3 linked regions of the Drosophila melanogaster genome follow. The protein of the gene in region 3 interacts with the protein of the main gene of each other region in a pairwise test. Each region holds a gene or a part of one and is shown on either strand. Other genes may lie near its edges.

What was found. Proteins that work in one complex are often made in the same cells at the same time.
Region 1: the proteins of CG33333 (region 3) and Tsp33B interact in a two-hybrid assay, tested with the Drosophila melanogaster proteins (one large-scale study listed by BioGRID).
Region 2: the proteins of CG33333 (region 3) and CG13850 interact in a two-hybrid assay, tested with the Drosophila melanogaster proteins (one large-scale study listed by BioGRID).

What each region holds. Positions count from the first base shown.
Region 1 is NT_033779.5:11,788,856-11,796,056, reverse strand, and holds Tsp33B (tetraspanin 33B), read left to right. Parts: upstream 1-3,691; 5' UTR 3,692-3,753; coding exon 3,754-4,506; intron 4,507-4,681; coding exon 4,682-4,789; intron 4,790-4,844; coding exon 4,845-4,964; 3' UTR 4,965-5,032; downstream 5,033-7,201. Other genes in the region: CG14937 (uncharacterized protein), read left to right, coding at 2,010-2,031, 2,111-3,426; CG14932 (uncharacterized protein), read right to left, coding at 5,121-5,574, 5,631-5,687, 5,747-5,785, 5,843-5,881, 5,942-5,998, 6,052-6,053; CG14931 (uncharacterized protein), read right to left, coding at 6,726-7,201.
Region 2 is NT_033777.3:22,406,397-22,414,453, forward strand, and holds CG13850 (uncharacterized protein), read right to left. Parts: upstream 4,520-8,057; 5' UTR 4,461-4,519; intron 4,414-4,460; exon of another isoform or gene 4,355-4,413; intron 4,286-4,354; 5' UTR 4,268-4,285; coding exon 4,090-4,267; intron 4,027-4,089; coding exon 3,316-4,026; intron 3,253-3,315; coding exon 3,003-3,252; intron 2,942-3,002; coding exon 2,667-2,941; intron 2,614-2,666; coding exon 2,544-2,613; intron 2,485-2,543; coding exon 2,274-2,484; 3' UTR 2,170-2,273; downstream 1-2,169. Other genes in the region: CG13855 (uncharacterized protein), read left to right, coding at 1-78, 133-388, 450-667, 733-1,376, 1,441-1,553, 1,619-1,803, 1,860-2,124; lqfR (liquid facets-Related), read left to right, coding at 5,189-5,241, 6,253-6,454, 6,514-6,883, 6,965-7,061, 7,124-7,881.
Region 3 is NT_033777.3:17,414,430-17,420,791, forward strand, and holds CG33333 (uncharacterized protein), read left to right. Parts: upstream 1-3,037; 5' UTR 3,038-3,054; coding exon 3,055-3,501; 3' UTR 3,502-3,613; downstream 3,614-6,362. Other genes in the region: CG5866 (uncharacterized protein), read left to right, coding at 1,317-1,926, 1,984-2,045; CG42834 (uncharacterized protein), read left to right, coding at 4,356-4,724; CG42835 (uncharacterized protein), read left to right, coding at 6,209-6,362.

The DNA of each region.
Region 1 (7,201 bases), on a different chromosome or scaffold from region 3:
TTTTTGCATTTTCCAAGGAGGAACATTAATAACGAGCTAACGCGCGAAAACTTTCACATATATTGGCCAAGTGTAGTCCTTAACCCAGTTTACAATATATCGAGCCCTGAAAGTGGGGCTGTGATGATTATGAGATATATATACAATTATATGACAGTGGAAACAGAAGCAGCATAACGGCAGACCCAACTAACGAGATAATGAAAAGGGATTAAACAAACAAGTTATTATATTTAATGTTAGTTGAACTACTAAAAGTAATGATTGAAAGCACGGATCGAAGGAATGGAGATAGGAGTTCCCGCGTGGGAGTGCGAGTAGTTTTTAGTTGGGCGCGTCGCCCAATCATTATGATTACAATTACAATTACGATTATGATATATGGAATACTAAACCTATAACAACAAGTTATTACCCCACTATTAAAGTTAACAAGCAACAACAACAACAACCCATACATATACATATATACGACTAGGCACAACTCTAAAATTAATTATAACCCTTAACTGTGCTTGTGTTGAAAACAACAAACATTAAGAACAAGTTTAAGCCGTAACGAAATAAAAGAAAGTGAAACAATTAACGAGAAATCCCCAAGCGCCACAAGCAACAACATATCTGCTTTAAATTTTACAAAAAAGGAAGAGAAATCTAAAAAAAAGTATATTAAACACGAGTCAAAGTTTAATAATTTAGTAAGAAAACAATACACAGACAAACTGACAGACACACGACCCACACATTATGCTTCCTTTTAAATGCAACATTTTATACATTTAATTATCGAGAATTAAATGCTTAAAATACAATTTTAATTTAATTTAACAAACTGTAACTGTACACGAATAAACGGAAAATGTAAAACTGTTTGTTTAACCATTTAAAGACAGAACTTGGTTTTATTTAACCTAATTTTATTGATTCACGATCATCGCAGCAAAGTGCACATTTTGAATACACTTAGAATGCAGGGAACAATTGAAAATTGAAAATGAAATTATCATTGATATGCATGTATTTTGCTTTCACACTGAAAATAATTGTTTTCGAAGTCGCAAACACACACTATCACACGTCTATAATTATGTAGTTGAGTATCCGTGTTAGTTTTTGGGTGTTTTTGGATTTTTGGTGATGTGTATAGAGCGCAGTATATAGAATGCATATAGAGATATATATTATTGTACGATTATTGACTAATATATAACGGATATGTATGTGTAGTACGTGAAAGGCAAGTTTATGGAGACAATTCACTTGTGTTGCAATATTAATGAACAAACGAAATAATTTACTTGTAAGTTGCGTAGTGCAAGCCGTGAGAATAGAGGTAACTTTCTCCACAACCCACACTCACTGATCGACAGACACATACCCATTAACCTTAATGATTAAACGCTGGGACAGCGGCAAAAATGTTTCCTAGGAGAAAAATTAACAGAAGCTGAAGAAAACGCTTGGAATGCCCCAATTAACGTAAACATTAAAAGCAACAAACAGTAACAATACTAAATAGAAACAATAATGTACTATAAATCAGATACAATACAACACTATATATACCTAAAATATATATGCCTATACGACAGAAATTGGACAACAAATGAAATATATATATATATAGTATATATTGTACAAGTTACGAGTAAAATGTAATTAAAATTTATGAAGTAGTAAGCACTAAACAAAACAAATAAATGAGCAGCAAAAACGCGCAGCATAAGCATAAAACCGGATTTTACAAGAAACTGAGTAACCCTGAGTAGAATTATATTTTTTGGTTAAGGATATTATTATGATTTCGTATCTCTGGGATACCCCGAAAACTATCGCTTCGTTTTCCCATCTCCAAAAGGATAAGTCGTTTAGGTAGCGCGAATTCCGCCCGATCTGCCTGGAAACCCACCCCTAAATGACCTTCGCACTAGGTAGCATCGGACTACTGACCGTGGCAACTGCGTGAATTCATTAGTATTCCAAGTACCACGATCGAGAACAGACCGCAGATGACGTCCGCAAGCGATACAGGTAAGGAATTGGCTAAAAACGAAAAAAAAAAAAACAATACAACTGAGCCTATTAAGACGATCGTCCTTCAACTTTTTAGAACCCACTGCAGTAACGCTGCTCCAGCTGAATGACGATGTCCTGGCTTTGATCATCCGCCAGCTGGACACGTACCAGCAGTTCCAGATTAGCAGGTTGAACAGGCGCTTGGCGGGCGTAGTGCACATGCTCTGGGAGACCCGTGTTCGCAACGTTGTCCTGCAGGACGAGATGTTCGGACGCTCGGGAGCCAATTCCCGACAGTTTGTGGCTTTCATCTTGGCCCTGGCTCCGCACATGCAGCACCTGAGTTGCAAGCAGTTGGATGTCCGAAGACTGCGACTGCTCAGTAACCACACGCTGGAGAGGATTCACTCTTTCGAGTGGCTGGGCAATGTGTATAGACGGAGACGCGTTCGCTTCGTGGATGAGGATGTGCGAATGCTGCAGAGGGTATTTCCCAATCTAAAAAGCCTCAAACTTAGAGGCTGCCAAATTACCGGAAAATACCTATGCGACCTGGATGAGCTTACCGATCTCCGCCTGCATGATTGCCATTTTCTGGAATCGCAACACTTTAGGGACATCTTCCGGCAGCTGCGACTACGCAAATTTGACATAATGGAGGACTGTGACGAGGTGAACTGCTGTGATCTGGCGGATCTGCAGCTGTGTCCCACACTGGAGCATATCAAGATTGCGGATTACCACGTGTGTATGGAGTCGGATATTACGCAGCAACTACTGACATTGCCAAACCTGCGAAAGCTGTCGATCTATTCCAGGAACTTTGTCTTTGATGTCCTATCGAGGATAGTTAGTCCCACAAGTCCTCCCGGCGATGGCCGACAAATTGAGGCCTTTAGTTTCAGTGGAGTTTTGCACGACTATGGCCGGTTCTTCAGGGAGCTGGGAAATCTTAGTCACTTGACGCGACTGGAGCTGCACAGCCAGCCAGAGGAAGAGGAGGAGAAGGAGGAGGGCGTCCAGGTGCAGTGCCTGGGGGATCAGATACTGCGGCAGCTAGCCAGTCAACTGGGTGAGCTAACCGAACTCCATTTGTGTGGCTATCAGTTGGAGAGTCCTTTGGGCCTGCTGGAATTCGTGATCAATTGTCGACAGCTGAGAGTCCTCGACATCACTCGAACCTTCTGCCATGGAGAATCCTTCGTCTGGAGGTGTATTGCCATTTTGGCCAAGCAAAGCTGGCGCATTCGCCCTCTAGAGCTGTGGATCCGGCATAGCGATATCAATCCGGAAATAGTTCAAAGTTCGCGCTGCGTTGATAACATAAGGCTGATAAAGGTGGATGCAAAACAGATTGGACCCAATACGGACTACACATCTGGCGTACTCAAGTTTAGCTTTGTGCGGTAAACCGCTGCCCCATGAGTGGGATATGCTCCAACTGATCAAGCTCCAAAATGAAAAGGTTTTAAACTGAAATATAGTTAAGTGTATACATTTATCAACTGCTTACCAAATAAAAAGATGTAAATATACATATTTGTAAAGCGATTTTTCAATGCATCATTGTTTTTACTGCCCTTAGGGATAAAAAAAATTAAATTCAAGTTGTAGTACACTTTAAAATTCAAACACCCAAGTCCTTGCAATCAGCGTCAATCCAAATGAAATTCGAGTTCAGAGCTAAAACCTCGTCGACAAGCCAAACTTTGGATCGATGCCCACGAGGATGACCAAATGCGCCAGCCCTTCCGCCGAGCCTCCGTCTACCTCCACCTGCTGTTAATAACCGAGGCCGTGATCGGACTGCTGATCCTGGTGGTGACCGCCTACTACCACACCGTGCTCACCGGCTATCTATCGGATATTGAGTGCCGCCTGGTCTACGGCTATCTGTTTGGGATCTACGTGTTTGGCGCCCAGGTGGTGGTGACCTTTCTCTGCAGCATTGCCATGTGGCGGCGAATTTGGCGGCGTCGCTGCACGCCGAACATTCGCCTCTTGCTATCCGTGTGGGCCTTCTACTCCTGCGTAATCATTGCCTCCGGTTTCGGGTGCGTTTGGAATCTTTACCGGGGTGTCGATGTCCTCGAGAATGCGGCGGACACCTCGCTGACCCGCGGCATCGACATGTACTACTCGTGTCCCGAGTGGAAACTCCTGTGGGACGGACTGCAGTGGCACAAGGAGTGCTGCGGGGTGCATGGCTACAAGGACTGGATGAACGCGGAGTGGATGCCACGGCGGGAGAATAACTGCACGTCGATGGTCCTGGCACCCTTCGCCTGCTGCAAGCGCTCCTGCGACAGCTGCTTTAACAATTTCCTGCCCAGTGAGGGGCAGTCCATCGGTGGCAATAGCCGGCAGCCTTTTCCCGCTCTCACCGTGGACTCAATCAATGCGAACGGATGCTTGCCTGCGTTCGTTAGTGCGGTGTGGAACTGCTTTTACATCCTGATGGCGTTATGGGTCCTGGCCCTTAAGTTTCTGGTAAGTAATTGGTAATGGGCAACGTTTTAAAGTCAGAACAATGGTGAATATTGGAGCCATATTCATTAAATTCTGTCAAATTCATTAGCGTAAGTCATATTGAAATCAAAAAATTTGAATATGCAACAAAATTGTATTTTAAGATAAGACCTCCCTAAGTCAATCATCTTTTTAGATCGTGCTTTGTTGTATGACCAAGTTCATAGTTCACCGGCAGAACGAGGGCGATGGCTGCGATAATGTGGGACTCACGGACGATGATGGACATCCCTTGGTCGTGGTGGTGGGTTTATCCATTTACTATCCATCGATAGCACCTAAATCAGTCCATTCCCCAGAAATATCCGTGTAACGTGCGCTGTGTAACAATTGCCGAGGATGATCTGGTATCCGACAACGTTCCCGATATTAACTACTGCAATTGCACCGAAATGGACGACGAACCGTGTGGATACTAATATTGTGCTTAATTTTACTTTTATATTTTATATTAATTTAATTAAATTTACGAATTTGAGTTAACTTCATATCCAATCGGTGAACGCAATATATTATTTATTGGATATTATAGGATACTTATTACATGGATGTTGTAACATTGGATGTTAAATGGATTAACGGCGCATCCTCTTGGATTTCTTCAAAGTCTGACCCACCAGTTGAGCAATATGTTTGCGCAATGCCAAGAAAGGCTTCAAGCAGACGCGCTGCTCGACGAGACCCACAGCAATGCGGTGAAAGAACTCGGTGACATCCACGGGCTTGGCCAGCAGCTGACCTTGTGATACCGAGCCGTTTTCCTCTGAGGCCTCGGGCGTAGGGCTACGTGCCATTCTACGGATGAATGGTTCCAAGTTGCCCCTGCTACGTTGGGAAACGCGAGCTCCAATGGACTCTGATAGCGCATTATTGGCGCGAGAGAAGGTGAGACGCTCCTGAGATCCCGAGTCGTTTTGATCCGGAGTCTCTGGCTTCTGTATCACCAGTTCGGGTGAGGTGGGGTTTTTCTTTGGAATTTTCGGAAACTCGGTAATTTCGGTAATCTCCAAAGCACTGTGGGGACGTCTTCTGTAGAGAATCCGAACCCGTTATTCCACGTTCTACATTACGAAACTATAACTTACGGTGTACCCGCCTCATAAGTGACATATGGGGACCAGTCTGCCCCATCCAAATCCATACTAAAAGGTTCACAAAATGAAGAAAAATGATTTTGTTTTATAACATTAAATTTACTCACTCATCTTCGTTGGAACAGTCATCATCTTGATCACTTTCCCTGATTATAAGGCAACTTAAAAATAATCTATCAAAACATTATATTAAAAAGACTTACACAGAAGACTCGCAGGTAATCTCGTCACTTTCGGGAGCACTAGAAAGGAAATACATATATTGTCAGTGTTTTTCTGAAGCTAAATTAATGAAGTCTTACGTAGCTTCTTGATATTCATCATCATCGCCCACAATATGAGGAACCTTTGATTGGGACCTGCAATGAATAATCCATCAATATATTTAATGAACTGCTTTAATTTTAATTACATTTTTAACAAATTTTCAACGCCTAGCTCCTGGAAAATGACAATGTGAAAAGCCGTGCGGCCAGTGTGTCCACTCCAAGGAATGTTTAATAAGAACATCAGTGTTGATCAAAATACTGTTGAAAACTTACTGGAGCATATGTAATTAATATATAAAATTCAGTTAAAGCTCAAGTCACGTGTTCTTAACATTTAGTAAAAATAGAAATTTATACTAAAGGTTTTGGTAAATTTGAGCCTTAAAATTTTGGTTAAGTTTAGCCTTAAAATGGCAGTTAAACATAAAAAGTTTAAATTCCTATAAAAAGACGTACCAGTGTTGTACAACAGGCTTAATTTACAAACTTCCAAATACAAATGTAATTATACATATTTATGTAAAGTCAAGCCATCACAATTTAATTCCACCTTTGGAAATGTTTTTATATATTGGGTGTTCGTTTTTATTGAACTTGACATGCTTATGACTAAATAGTTAAGGAAACTGGAATTGGAATAAATACAGCTCGACCAAAAACACAAGCCACAATTATGCAATAAATTCAATCCTTTAATGTGACATATAGTTAACTTATTCGAGTACTCTTTCTTAGACATATGTGGGCTATAAACATTGTAAAATCTCTACTGCATTCGATTGGGAAACATAAACCACAAGACATGGGCGGAAATAGCCTATTCCTGGCTGATTTCATTGGCATCTGAGAAATCCGAGACGGCGACGCTGCTGGTGCTGATTAAATGTCGATCGGGCATTTCGCCGATGGAAGGAAGAGTGGTGCTATCGCTGGCGCTGGACAAAGATATCTCCTCCCAGCTGACGCCGGAGTCGCATTCGTTGCCCGGGGAAACGGGTGTGGCGTCGGCATTGTGCGGCTCATCCTCCGGTGCCTGGCCAATGCTGATAGCCGGCGTTGCTCTGGAACGTTTGCCAACTAGTTCGACGTTTTGATTGCGATCCGCAGCAATGCGCTTGCGATCGGGAATTTGATTGCCCGTGGTGGGACTCCAGTCCATGGCACGGTGCACCAAAGCCCGAAAAGTTATACGGATCGGCTCGCTCGGTGGACTGTCCATGTCTGAGGGATTTCTTCTGGACACTTGCGGCGACATGATCATCGTGGAGTTGTGCAAAGCACTGGGATGCGAAG
Region 2 (8,057 bases), 5.0 Mb from region 3:
TCATGAGTTCCAACTGGAGATGAATAAGGAGGGTAGAGAGGATCAGACCTCCAAGCTAGATCTGGATGTGTACTATGAGTAGGTGAAGCGAATAGCATTATTAAACCAATATTACACGTAACCTTTTATCAGCAAACACCGTCTGGCCGACTTTATCACTGTCCACATCTCTGGTGATGACACCCAGGATGGCCAGTCCAAAACCGTGGTCGTAGAGATCGAGAATGCAGCGATAGTCAAGCCATTCCTCTGCGGCTATAGGGATCAAAAAACGGGCAAAGAGTACTTGGACGCATTTACCCAAACTGGACCGTACTTTGACAAGATGAAGTACAGGAAGTACAAGACCAGGGATACCCAGACATGGGAGCAAAAGGAAAAGACTCTGGTATGTTCAAGCAACTTCGATTTATGTATATTGCGATCAATTATACCAAAATTCTTTTCAGAACACAGCCCATGAGCAATCGGTGCAATGCCATCTGGATGGTATTAATATACTATATGTTTCCGCCGCCAATGACTTTACCATAGTTCCTGGCAAGTACCAGACTTTTGCCCAGAAGGAGCGAGCAGAGCGGAAGCTCGAAAAGATTTTGCTCATCCAGCGAAACTGGAGGCGCTGGATTTTGTGGAAATATATTCACCTGCGGGCGCAAGAGTATCGGTAGGTGGACTATATTCAATTTAAATTATGAAACTTAAATATCTTATCTTATAAACCCCTACCAGTCGCCTGGTGCAGAATCGCGAGCACGAGGATGAGCGGTATGAGAAGTGCGTGGAACAGCGCATGGAGCGACACCGGGTGATCAAGCAATTCCCACGCAACAAGGATGACTTCGATCTGCTATATGCTGAGGTGGCTCGTTGGAAAAAGGCGGAGCTAAAGCGTATTACCGCCAACTATGAGGGGCCTGCTCGCATTGCCGAGGTGAACATCCTGCTGGACAAGGAGATTCAGCTGCTTAATGGCGTGGAGCGGCAGCGTAATCTCGTCTACAAGGCCATGGAGGATTTTCGCAAAGATCAGCTGCTAAAGGAGATGGGCAAACCGATCGAGTGGGTTGGCTACAAGGACTCCAAAATCCACATGGATCTGTTGAGCACACAGCGAGTTCGCTTCCTCACCGAGATCTACAAAGATCTGCGAAAGCCGCGCAGCAAGGAGGACCGCTTAGACTTCATCCGACAAGTCATGGCAGTGCTCACCGAGGAGACTTGCTTCCCACATTTTCCCGAACTCTTTGATCTCTTTGATCGCGAAAAGAATCTTTTGCTCTATGCCAAGTCCTTTGACGTGGAAATCTTGCGCAAACGCCAGACAATGCTCTTTTTCGATCTCATAAAGTTCCAAAAGGGCGAGCCCAAACAAAGTAAGTGTTGAACATACGTATATATCTATTTATTGTATTAATCTTTGGGAATTGTGATTTTTAGGGATTCCATCGCGCATGTGCATTGTATGCAAAAAGGTCAAGACCTATGCCGAGTTTGCCATTCGGACACGTCAGAGCCATGTGGACACCTGCAAGCACTGTTACTATCTAAAGGTGGGTTATTCCTTATTCCACATTTTAAATATTATAATCGAAAATATTTTCATACATACACATAGCTAACTGCTACTGAGAACACCGTGTACCAGTCCATTCTACGGTGCATCCATCGAGATGAGCGGAAACGCAAGTGCACCACATCCTTTGCATTTGTAATGCAGCCAGATGATGTTCGCCACATCATAGACAAAATATGGCATGGACATTCGGCTCTAAGCAAGACAGAGAATCTCAGTGAACTAAGGTAACCCCTTCACAATGAAGTGTTTAAAAATCAAACGTCAAATATATCTATTTCAGATTACCGCGTTGGAACAAGAGCGATGACTGGGCACCGTGGAACTGTATTTGCCTGACGGAACGGGAGACGCGAGATCACTACAAGATCGATGACATTGAGAAGGTGTATGATCCCAAGTTCGTTCTGCACATCGGTAATCTTCACATGCTGGCTCGCAGCCTATTCCACACCTTAGCTGCTGTGGCCACCGAGTTCCAGGAAACGGGCCAATGGTGGAAAGTGGGCATGAACAAGCAACGTTCCAGTAAACTGGATGCCGTCTAAACTATGTGGTTAAAATGACTCCCAGTAACTCACCTTTCGAAATTTGGGTTTAGCTTGTAATTCAGCGCCTAATTTAACATTTACAAAATTTTAACAATTCAAATATTGATCAATCATTACAAGAAAAATTAAATAAACTATAACTGCAATTATTTGCTACTTGCAATCGCCTTGAACTTTGACTCCAAATACTGAACGCGTTTCAGTAGTTTGTCACTGGTGCTGAACTCATTATAGGGCACGGGAATAACGTGGTAACCACTCTTCTCTAGCAGATCAAATGTCAGATTCGTAACGCCGCTGCCACTGCGATGCGTTCCGTGGCAAATGTCATGGAAATCGATGACCATCAGCGCCACCCTGAAATCAAGTTTCATTCATTATAATCAAGTTAATTTATAAAACGTGTAATAACTTGCCTTATTGCATTCGGATTTTCCTTGTCCAAAGGCAGGGGGTTTTTGTTAGCATCAAAATGGCACAGTGCATCTGAAACGACAGTTAATCAGGAATATGGTACACATTAACAAGGAATATCTTACCTATAAGGAAGCCCATTTTAGTGTCTACAGCAGTTTGTAAATGATTGCTGGCCGGCAGCAGACTTTTCAGGGCATCTAGCATTCCATTTACAAGCACTTGCTTTGCTTTAGGATGAGCCATGGGCACCTGATAGACAGGACTGTCAGTGGGCAATAGTGGACCCTTGTAATCTGTGGCTATTAACTGGGCATAGCTATTCAAGTTGAGTAGCCTCATTTTGGAGGTAGCTGTGACACCAGCTTTGTCCTTTTTCAACGTCTCTAGGAAGTCCGCACTGAAAGTAATTACAAATTTAAGTTTTAATTCCAGATTTTCAAGCGTTTCAAAGAACAAACCTCAAAACAGAAGCCAAGTGGCCGTGTTCTACTAGACCCAACATTGTTAGCGACCACACAAAGCTCAACCACTCGGATTGCTTGGTAAAATCCTCGCGGACAATAGACTTTACTAGCTTTTTGCTCACTTCCTCCAATTGAGCGCTTTTGAAGTTTAGCAGGGCCGATGTTAGGAAATAGGCACTGAGATCTTGGGGGCGACAGATTTCACTATTCTTTAAAAGCCACTGCGTAAGTGATTCCAAGATATCTACCGAAAAAAATAAATTACATTAATCACAACTTTTTCTGATGTGTTTATATCCGAGCTAACCCAAATCCCGGTATCGTAAAATGCCCAGGCTGGTGATAATGGATCCCACAACGGCAGACTTCTCCACATTCTTAGGCAGCGCCGATTGCACATCCGCACACACTTTAGCGCCTAGAACAGAATCCTGGAAATTCAACGTGGACATAGCGAACAGCACATCCCCCGCTTGCTTTAAATCCAGCGATTCCGACGCGCTGCTGATATTAAAGGCCAGGGAGCGCAAGAGAGGAGTACTACGCCTCTTCCGCTGGGCCAGGGTGCTCATCACCTTGACCATCTGGGGCAGACTGATGCTAGCTATCAGCTTAGCGGCCTCATCGTCACCAGCTACGCCAAGCACCGTGTTTAGGTCATCTGTTCGGAAGCCGGAAATCCGCTTGGCCGTCCCATTGTCACCAAGGTCCTTGTTGTTAGCATTATTATTTTTGGGAACCGTCCGGCCCAACATCCGGCAAATACGTAGGAACCTTGTGTCGTTCTCGAATTCCGAGATCTTTACTCGATTCAAGGTGCTCCACTCGGCCAGTATGGAGACAATTCTGAGGGCATGCTTCCTCGAGAAGCCATTGTTGTTCTCCGTGATAGTTAGCAGTCCATTGACTGTCTTTGCGTTGATGATACGCTCATCGATCTTGCTGGAGGCTTGGCTTTTGCTCTCATCTTTGGGATCGTCGTTTCTAAGGGATTCGAAAGCAGCGGCTACCATGTGGCCTGCAATAAGGATGGAGTGAATACCAATTAGTAAGGAGGACAACAATTTTAGAATCTACCTACCCCTGGGCTTTTTGGCCGCCTCCTCCACAGCCGGCGCGCGTGCTTCCGGCTCCACTGCATCCGATTGTGCTCCAGTGGGCGCCACGGGAATGCCCGCTGCCCGGACACTGCTGCTGAAGGCTGCACGGCGGTACAACTGGGTGACAAAACTGCCGGCAAAACGTTGTAGTCCCAACATTTTCAGTCAATCCACACGCTGCAAGAGACCACAGAAGTTTACATAACCTTTTTGTTTACATTTTTAGCGGCCAGGAAGGGGCTTTACAAAGCATGCCAATGATATAGGCTTATATTCATGACTTGAACCGTCTTATTTCCCCTGATATCCTTCACGTTTCATTTAGTATTTTCATTTATTTTAGTAAACTTTCCTATTGAACGTTGAGAATCCACAGATGACAGCAGCGTTCAGCTGATGGTAGTGTAGGGTAAGACCCGTCGGCTCCATGCAAAGCTTTTGTAACACTGCGAGCTGTGCTGCCAACTCAGCATTTTCTAGCTAGATCTGGCGTTTTTTATTCCGGAACTTAGGTGTCATTGCATGTGCTTTCGGTTATTTGGTAAATGCTTCCAATTTTATTACTATGCCGATTTCTCTTTGTGCTTTATTAATAAGAAAACTAATGTTTTATTGAACTATTTCGGTTATTGGTAAATGGTTCCCATTTTATAACTATGCCGATTTCTCTTTGTGCTTTATTAATAAGAAAACTAATATTTTATTGAACTATTTGGAGCACAAATTTAAAAAGCTAATTTTCATTAATAACGGCTACAGCTATTTATCGGATTTAGCTACACTTGAACAGTGAGAGTTGGAAACACTGTTTGCAACACTGGACACGACAGCTCACCAAATATTAGCTGCTGTGATTTTGTTTTACAATTTTCGTTTAAATTTTTACATTTTTGTTTGCGGAAAGCGCGGGTGCGAGACAGGTGCGCCGTTTCCATGCAAAAGTGCAAATCGTCAGCTGCAAAACAGTCAGAAAACGGCACGCCAAGCGAAAACGAGTTCGACGTCTTGTTGTAGTTGGATTTTCCAGCCACTTTTCGACGAGATTGTGTGAAAAATTCCGTAGCATTCAATAGTCTCAAAATGGTGGATAAATTCATCAGCATGTGGAAAGTGCGCGAATTGGCGGACAAGGTGTAAGTGATCAGGAATATATAGGATATATCCATACGTATATGTAATGGGATGTGTGTATAACATTCCCTTAACGCCGAAGTGAATGTTAAGACTCCCACGCCCCAAGTTTTCTGATTTCCCGCCACGCCCCCAACTCCTCAAGGATTTCAAAAGCCCTATGTCATGCATAAATCCCTAATAATTCATAAAGATATCTTACTTATGGATCAACTGCATCGGGGTGCTGGATTAGGTTCACGTTTTTAACTGCTTTCAAGGTTGTTCGCCATTTCAAGAGAGCTTTACCAACACAGCCACATTCCGATATTGATATCCATGTGTATATGCGCCTGTGTGTGTGGGGCTTTATCAAGAAACAATTTGTTTGCTTTCGACTGCCCAAATATAACAATTTTTTCACCTGTGTTAACAGCTCCACTTCCAGGCTTTCCAGTGAAATGGGTGTTTCTCTTTCCCCCATCGAATTATTAATTATGGGTGTCCCCTTTCACCTGCGCCTTTTATGGGGTAGTTATTTCTAAAAGCGAGCCTATAGTTCGAATAAATAATGGTGGCTCGATAGCCAACACCGAACTCATTAGGTTAAGTGCGCGGGTACACCTTTCCTAGGGCTTATCTCGAACTGATAAGGAACACCTAGATGGCCCATTTGCGACAATTGGCCCACTTCCATCACGTTTCGAACGTCTATCAACGTCGCAGCCAAGCCATGCGTATTACTTATTTATCTGCATCTTTGCATTGTATATCCATATCGTCACACAACGTTTACTTAAAAATACCAGTTCTGATTAACTGGCCCTCTATCTATTTGATTATCTATTCAATTGAGTTTACGGAATGTCCCAGTCAATATGCCTTTTTTCTTTACTTAAGTATATATCAATTATTTAAGGAAACAAGCTCGGATTAAGATTTGTATTTACATATGTACAAAAGTTCTACGACTAACATCGTGAATAGTTAATAGTTACTTTAAAATAAAACAATGACTTCGTTCCCACTTGCAGCACCAATGTCGTGATGAATTACACGGAAACGGAGGGCAAGGTGCGGGAGGCCACCAACGATGATCCTTGGGGGCCTACAGGACCCCTCATGCAGGAATTGGCCTATTCCACCTTCTCATACGAAACATTCCCGGAGGTGATGTCCATGCTGTGGAAGCGCATGCTGCAGGACAATAAAACCAACTGGCGACGCACGTACAAGGTAACGTTTTCAGTTTAAACTAATAAATATAGAGCTAACGAGTATATATTTACTTACAGAGCCTCCTTCTGCTAAACTATTTGGTGCGAAACGGCTCTGAACGGGTGGTAACCTCCTCTCGGGAGCACATCTACGATCTGCGCTCGCTGGAGAACTATACATTCACCGACGAGGGCGGCAAGGATCAGGGTATTAATGTTAGGCATAAGGTACGAGAGCTTATAGACTTTATTCAGGATGATGATCGTTTGCGCGAGGAGCGCAAAAAGGCGAAGAAGAACAAGGACAAGTACATCGGCATGAGCAGCGACGCCATGGGCATGCGAAGCGGTGGCTACAGCGGCTATAGCGGTGGATCTGGAGGAGGCGGCGGTGGCAGCGGTGGCTACAATGATGGCGACTATCGCTCTAGTCGTGGAGACAATTGGTGTAAGTAAGAAATTTTTATTTTTTTAAGATTTTTGTTCAAATTCTCTATATGTAATATTAATATTGATGATTTTTCTTCAGACTCCGACAAAAGCGCCGACAAGGATCGGTATGAGGATGATGATACTCACTACGATGGAGAGCGAGAGGGATCCGATAGCGACTCACCCAGTCCAAGGCAAGTTTTCACTTTTCCGATTAACCTGCTCTATATCCTAATGTACTCTTTTCTCCTCACAGACGTAACTATCGATACAATGACCGTGCGAGTCCTGCCGAAGTAGCCAGCGAGGCCAAACCTTCCAGCCTCAACATGAACATTCGTTCGAAGACCGTCAGTTCCCCTGTCTCCAAGCAGCCCACTTCAACGGCTTCTGCCAAGCCAGCGCTGTCCCAGAAGAAGATCGATCTGGGTGCGGCAGCAAACTTTGGAAAGCCAGCTCCTGGCGGTGCTGCTGGCATTCACTCACCAACTCACCGTGACACTCCCACCAGCGTGGACTTGATGGGCGGCGCTTCGCCATCGCCGTCTACTTCCAAGGCAAACAATAATACGCAAAGCAATAACAACGATCTGCTGGACGATCTGTTCAAGACCTGCTCGCCACCGCCGGGGCAGGAGAAGACGCTGAACAGTGCTGCCGTGATTGTGGATGACGATGATGACTTCAATCCGCGTGCCAGCGATGCTAGCCAGCAGGAATTCGGCGACTTCGCCTCTGCTTTCGGGCAGCCCTCGGCGGGATCGACGATCAGCGAGCCACCATCAACGGGCCTGGTTCCGGCTGCGAACGATGAGTTCGCCGACTTTGCGGCGTTCCAAGGCTCGACAACGTCGACATCTGCGCTGGACGGTAATTTGCTGAAGACTGCCACGCCGGCGAACGATTCGTTTGACCTGTTTAATTCAGCTCCCACCTCGACGGCAGCAGCCACAACGGCTACAGATCTCCTGGCAGGCCTGGGCGATCTGTCCATTCACCAAAGCATGCCCATGGGTGAGTTGTAGTTTGATTCTTGTAGCTTAACATATTATTAAATTTGAAATAGTTTTAAGATTAGAGTAATTGCATTGGCCTTAGTCACTTCATGATATATTTAGGTATCGCTGCATGAAGGTGCGCCTTCCGAGCTTGACTAGAGCCGTTATCTCTACCTCGAGCTCCACAGCCCA
Region 3 (6,362 bases):
AGTAAATGAACTTTTACACCTAAATCTATTAGTTGTTTTTATCTATTAGGGCTCTTTGGGGCCTCAAGCATGAAACCAAATATCGAAGTCGTGTTTGCGTAACAAACAGCCAACAAGTCACGTAGAAATCAAGCGAGTGCGCTGAATAATATAAAAGTGTTTTAGTCACACCCAGTTTAAAAGATATGGTAAAAAACTATTGTTTAATAATAATAATTTTTAAAATTCGCTTTAACATAATATTATAAATATGTAATCCGTATAAATTTCATTTTGTTTGTGTTATATAAAAATGTACATTTATATAATATATGGCTCAGTATAAATATTATTCATCCTATTAATGGAATAGCACATATTTCGTATCTTATTATATTATATTAAATATTATTTAAACTAATTAAAGATAGAAAAGCGTAACTCCATGCATGTCCAATATAATTCACTAAAATTATCCACTTCTGTTGACCACGTGACGTTTGCTTTGGGGTTTTAGAGTTACAATTACCTAACTTCAATTAACTAATATAATTACAACAGAATAATACAGTAGCTTAATTACTTACATATTATTTGTGAAGTCCGCGAGATAGATTTAGTAGCACTTTGTAAACAAATAAATCTAAATAGATATATATCTTCTTCAGTGATCCCTTTCTTAACAGGAACTTAACATTTTATTTTAATATGAAACGTGAATAAAAAGCTGAAGAAATATGGTCACAATTCCAGTTTATGAGATTATTTATATTTTGGGTCACACATTTTAAAATAAGTTTTAGGTACATAACAGTTAAAACACTTGTATACCTAACATTAGTCGTTTCCAAGTAATCACACCTGTTAAATACACACATTGTAAAATAGTTTACTTTTAATATTCCGTGACTCTAAACTACACGTCCAGTCACACAGTCTTTACTAGAATCAGTTGAGAATTATAGGGCAAAATCAAAATAAAAATATTAAAAGACCATTATATTTAAGACCATTTGTAAAGATGTAAGCATGCGAATGGGTTCAGTCAACTCGGGTTGACCTGAGGGTTTAGAATTCAGAGCTCTAGGTAAAGAAACTCCCGAGTTGAACGTTCCTAGCCTGCATATACCACAAGGTTGTGATTTATGCCCTGCTTGAGAGTATTTATATTATTTAATTAGCTGCCCACTAGTGATGCTATTGCGGTGCTTATCTTTTAATTAATTTCTAATTAAAATGGGTTTCTTATTAAGTTTAAATTATTGGACTCGGTTTCTATTGTGCTCTGGGTATAAAACCGAAAAGGTTCCTGTGAATCAGCATCAGTTGAAGAAAATATGGCTCTGCGTTTCGTTTTCTTGCTGAGTGCTTGGATGGTCCTTGCCCAAGGATCCTTTCTGCGCAGATCGGATATTATTATCTTAGAAGCGAAGGTTCCCCAGAAAGGATATCTGCCTGTCGAAGATGCTTCAGTGCATCAAATCGTTCCTAACGAGTCATTGTCTGCAGGAAAAGAACATCAACATCAACGAGTACATCTGTATCAATTTCAATCGCATCCTCACGAGCACGGACCCCATTATCACCTAGAAGGGCACCATCACCTATCTGAGCCCCACCATCATCATCAGTTGTCTGAATCGCATGATCCTATCCACGGATCCCCTCAGCACCACTATCATGGTTCACATCCTAACCAACAACTCGAGGCACCATTTCAAGAAGTTCATGGATCCCACCATCAGCATCCAATCCACCACAACCATCTGGAGGCACCATATCACGGAACTCATGGTGTTCATCATCATCGCAACTGCCACGCCACCATCCATTGCCCCAGGGTTCATAGTCCAGCTTATGCCACCGATGGTCATCTCTGCTACAGGGTGGAGAACTCCTGCGCACTGGCCGTTTTGAACTGCCTGCGTCGCAATGAACTTAAGCCAGGTTGGTTATAAACATATCTAAAACATTTTCACAAATGATATTATTGTTTAATTGCAGTTTTGAGACACATCGGTCATCACGAATGCCATCGTCTGCCCAGCGCTTACAGGGCCCACTAATTCTAAGCTCAAGATAACTAAATATAAATATAAATATTTATATAAATATAGATATAAATATCTAATATAATATCCTAAGTTGTATTGTTTTCTTTTTCTGAAATATAATATTGTCAAATGAAATAATTTTGTTGTTGTCGGTGTTGTGTGTACTATTTACATAAATCTGGTTGTCCTATGTATGATAATCTTATGCATAAACCTATATTCGGAAGCCTAGATCTTTTAAATCTTTAAAGATAGAAGGTATTTAAAGATATGGTATCATTTACCATATATATAAAACAAAAAAGGCTAGCCTCCCCTCAGGTCCTCCTCATATTAATATCAGGGCCATTTTATGCCAATCGAAACAACTGTAACTTATTAAATAGATAACAAATTAAAATGCATTACAAAACAATCAATATTAAATGCCTTAGTAGATTTTCTCGACTATTAGATACCCATTACTCGTTGCCATTTAAGAATAAACGCCTTAGTCGATTTTCTCGACTATTAGATACCCATCAGTCGTTGAAGTCTGGCTTCAGATATAGATCCTATTCTGCATACATAATGGACGGACGGACGGAAATGTTGGCACGATCAACAAAATATATACTACAAAATGATTGAAAATTTGCTGTTTTAAACTAATCTAGTATTGTTTTGTGGTACATTAAATATTCGAATTTATCAAGTAATGGACTTCAAATATAATAATACATTTTAAAAATTTGGTTAGTCTACTTTAAATAATTACATTATATTACAATAAATTTATTTTTAATTAATAAGGGGAAAACCAGTATTTGGCTTGCATAATCAAGATGAGATGAGTTCAAAGTGCAATAAACTGGGTCAGCTTAGAATTTGGATCAGATTGCATGACATCACATACTATAATTACTTCAAAATGATGAATTACAGCTCTTGTAAATTCATACTTTCTGACTTTTCTCTGGTATAAAAGTCAAAAGTAAGCAGCACAAGGCATCAGTTGCTTAACAAAAATAAACAAATCAAAATGGCAGTCGGCTTCATTGTAATCTTCAGCGCCATATTCGTCCTGGCCCAAGGATCAAATCTTTTGCCCATTGAGCAGCAATCGGAGGTGCCAATCCATTCTGGTGCTCCAGCGGCAGTCATTTCGCAAGGACAACAGTCTGTGTCCCAGTCCGTTGGTTCTGCTTACGGTCAAGACCAAGGGTTGGCTGGTGCACGACCCTATTGGGCTGCACCTCGTCCTGCTCTGGCTGCACCTCGTCCTGCTGAGTCCTACGCTCGTCCTGCTGTGGCTGTACCTCGTCCTTCTGTGGCTGCACCTCGTCCGGCTGTGTCCTACGCTCGTCCTGCAGCCGTGGTGGTTCCTGCTTTGGTGGTTGCTCCTATTCGCCAGCCTCAGGGAGTCCCTGTCCCAGCCGTTGTAGGAGCTAGTCAAGGAAATGTGTACCATGGTCGCCATCATGGCTAAGCGTCGTGCAAATACTCTGCTCGAATCTCTTCCGGTTGACACACATTTTGGAACCAATTAATATTTACTTCTACAAATAATATTAACATAAATAAAAAAAAAAATGGAAAACAAATTTTATAGTTTTGTTTTATTCTAGAAATCATATTTCACAGTGCAATTTTGTAAATAAAAAACACTTGAGTATAAACCTATAAGTAAGTTAAGAAAATTGTACAGCTGAACTGTTCACATATTAGAGTATATTCTTAAACAACTCAATACAAGATGTTATCTCCAAATATATATAGCATTGTCTTTATATCGGCGTTGTATTTAACAGATCTTAGCAAATAATTGATTTAAAATATACTTCACAGTATACCCTTACTACTACTACTTGCCCTCTTCTGTTATTTCGACTTCTGTCAAGATACATTTCATTTAATCTTTTATATATTTTTGAATTTTGTTGAAGGTATTTTGGGCAGAACTTAGTTTTTTGTAAGAAAATATTTACCAAAAAGATATAATTTAAGAATTAAAAATTCTACCTAATTAATTAATTCAGCAAATGCATTTCATACATAAATATCGACCATTAAAAAAAGTATTTTTGAAACTAATATATTCCAATTAAATACATACATATATTAAAGCAAAGCTTTTAGGTTCAAAATCATTTATTTGACATCCAAGACAGCACTACTTAGATGTTTGAGATTGGTGAGTCAGATATTAATTGTTTTTAAATATTTAATTACATGCTTAGCTGTTCTAAATTTTGGGGTTGTCTCGCATGTATATAAGTTTTCCATTTCCAGCTAAAACCATCAGTTGTCTTACAAGCAATACTCACAAAGCTGAATATCAAAATGGCTCTTCGTATTATTTTTGTCTTCATTGCCACAATCGTCCTGGCGCAAGGATCAAATATTTCGCCAGTTGCGCAGGAGAATCTTGTGCGGGTCCATCACTCTGGAGTGGTTTCATCTGGAGCTCCTGCCGTTGGTGTTACCCAGAGCCGCTCAGTTGTTTCGCAAGCTCAGCGTCCTAACTATGGTCAGAGATCCATCTCTGGATCTATCGGAGGATCTCGTCGAGTGGGCGAAGTTCCAGTGTCCGGATCTCGTCCTCATGGTGGTGCTCCTCGTCGTTCTTCTGCAAGCGCTTATGCTCGTCCCATCGGAGGTGGAGCTACCCCAGGATATGTCCACCGCAACCGCAACCAGAAACCATATTAGAAACACCTTAAAAATTATACACCATCCCATCCCGATCTGACGAAATGTTCTAAGCCCTATTATCATTTAAATGATCTTATCACAGCTCTTTTATAACATAATTTCTAATAGCCATACTCTGGAAATAAAAATTTGATAAACAAAATATTTGAATATTTTATAAGAAATTGAGAATATCTTCAATGCAATTACTTTGGTAAAAAACTAAGTGCAAATACATACATACGAATAATTTCGTCTTTGATAATCATTATCTAATTCTTAACCGCTGAAAATTATTTTATTTTCATATTAATTAACATCGATCTCTTATGTCATAAGAAATTTTTTTGCCAACCAATTTGATTTAACAATTTAGACATGTATTCTATGGATAAACATTTAAATGGTCAAAAAATGTGTAATATTAAAGAAATTTCGAGGAAAATCTTTTAATTTCCCATAACCGCAGATCTTTCATTCGTCAAATACAAAAATACCTATCAGAGCTAATTGGTAGACAACAATTGTGAACAATCTGTCAAGATGAATTTTTAATGTCAGTAAAGCTTAAAGTTAGAATAGAAAATTCAAAGTTATAGTTATATATATTGAACAAAAAGTCTTGTTTACAACTATTGTTAAGTTTATTTACCTGTATTAAAAGGAAACAAAGTGCCTTTTTATATTATTAAACTTGATATGTAAATCTCCTTAATGTAAACAATTATTTTTTCGTGAAACAATGCCCTCCAATTTAAATCTTGAAAGGTTCGGAGGCAAATGAACTTTTTTCTCATGAAATCTAAAATGTTTAGTATTTGTTTAATAAGGTGCTTTGGTATTTTATAATTACATCAAATGAAAGCACCGGTCAATCTGAAACATTAATTCAAAACAACCAAGATGACAGCCCGCTACAGCGCCATATTCGTCCTGACTAAAGGATCAAATATTTTTCCCATCGAACAGGAGTCGGGGTGGCAGTTCACTCGATGGTATTTTATAAGTTTTTTAAATAAAAATAAGTTAAAAACTGTAAGAGCTTATTTTCCTCCATTTCTTACAAATGTGATTTATTTTATACATTTTAACTTTTTAAATGTGACCTTAAGGGCGTATAAATGACCACACGTCAAAAAAACATGGTTCGCCGATAATAAAAAATTGCCCATTTCAATCACTATTATTAAATTTTTTTGAAGCCTGTTAATGAGGTTAGTGAATGATATTTAACATTATGTTATGTTCGGGGAATTTAATGTATAAGGAAACGTGAAACTCCCGTGTAAGATTTGTTACACTTTTACAAGTCAGTAGATACATTTAAACTAATTATATCATTAGGGTTAAAAAGTAATTTTAGATTTATGGCTGTCCATATATTTATTAATAAAGATTTTGCGTATAAAAAAGGAAGCAAATCCACAGAAACCATCAGTTGCACAAAAAAGATTAGAAATAAAGAATTTCATTTTTGATCTTAAGTAAAAAATATAAAAAAAATGCTATTTCGATTTGCTTTCGTGTTTTGTTTTCTGAAATTCCTTGTTCAAGGATGCCATGTAACGCAAGTAAAACCTTTATTGCCAGTGGAAACTAATTCTGCGGGGGGTGTCTCATCAAGAGCTCCTATTAGTTTCCCCGAAGTGCGATCGG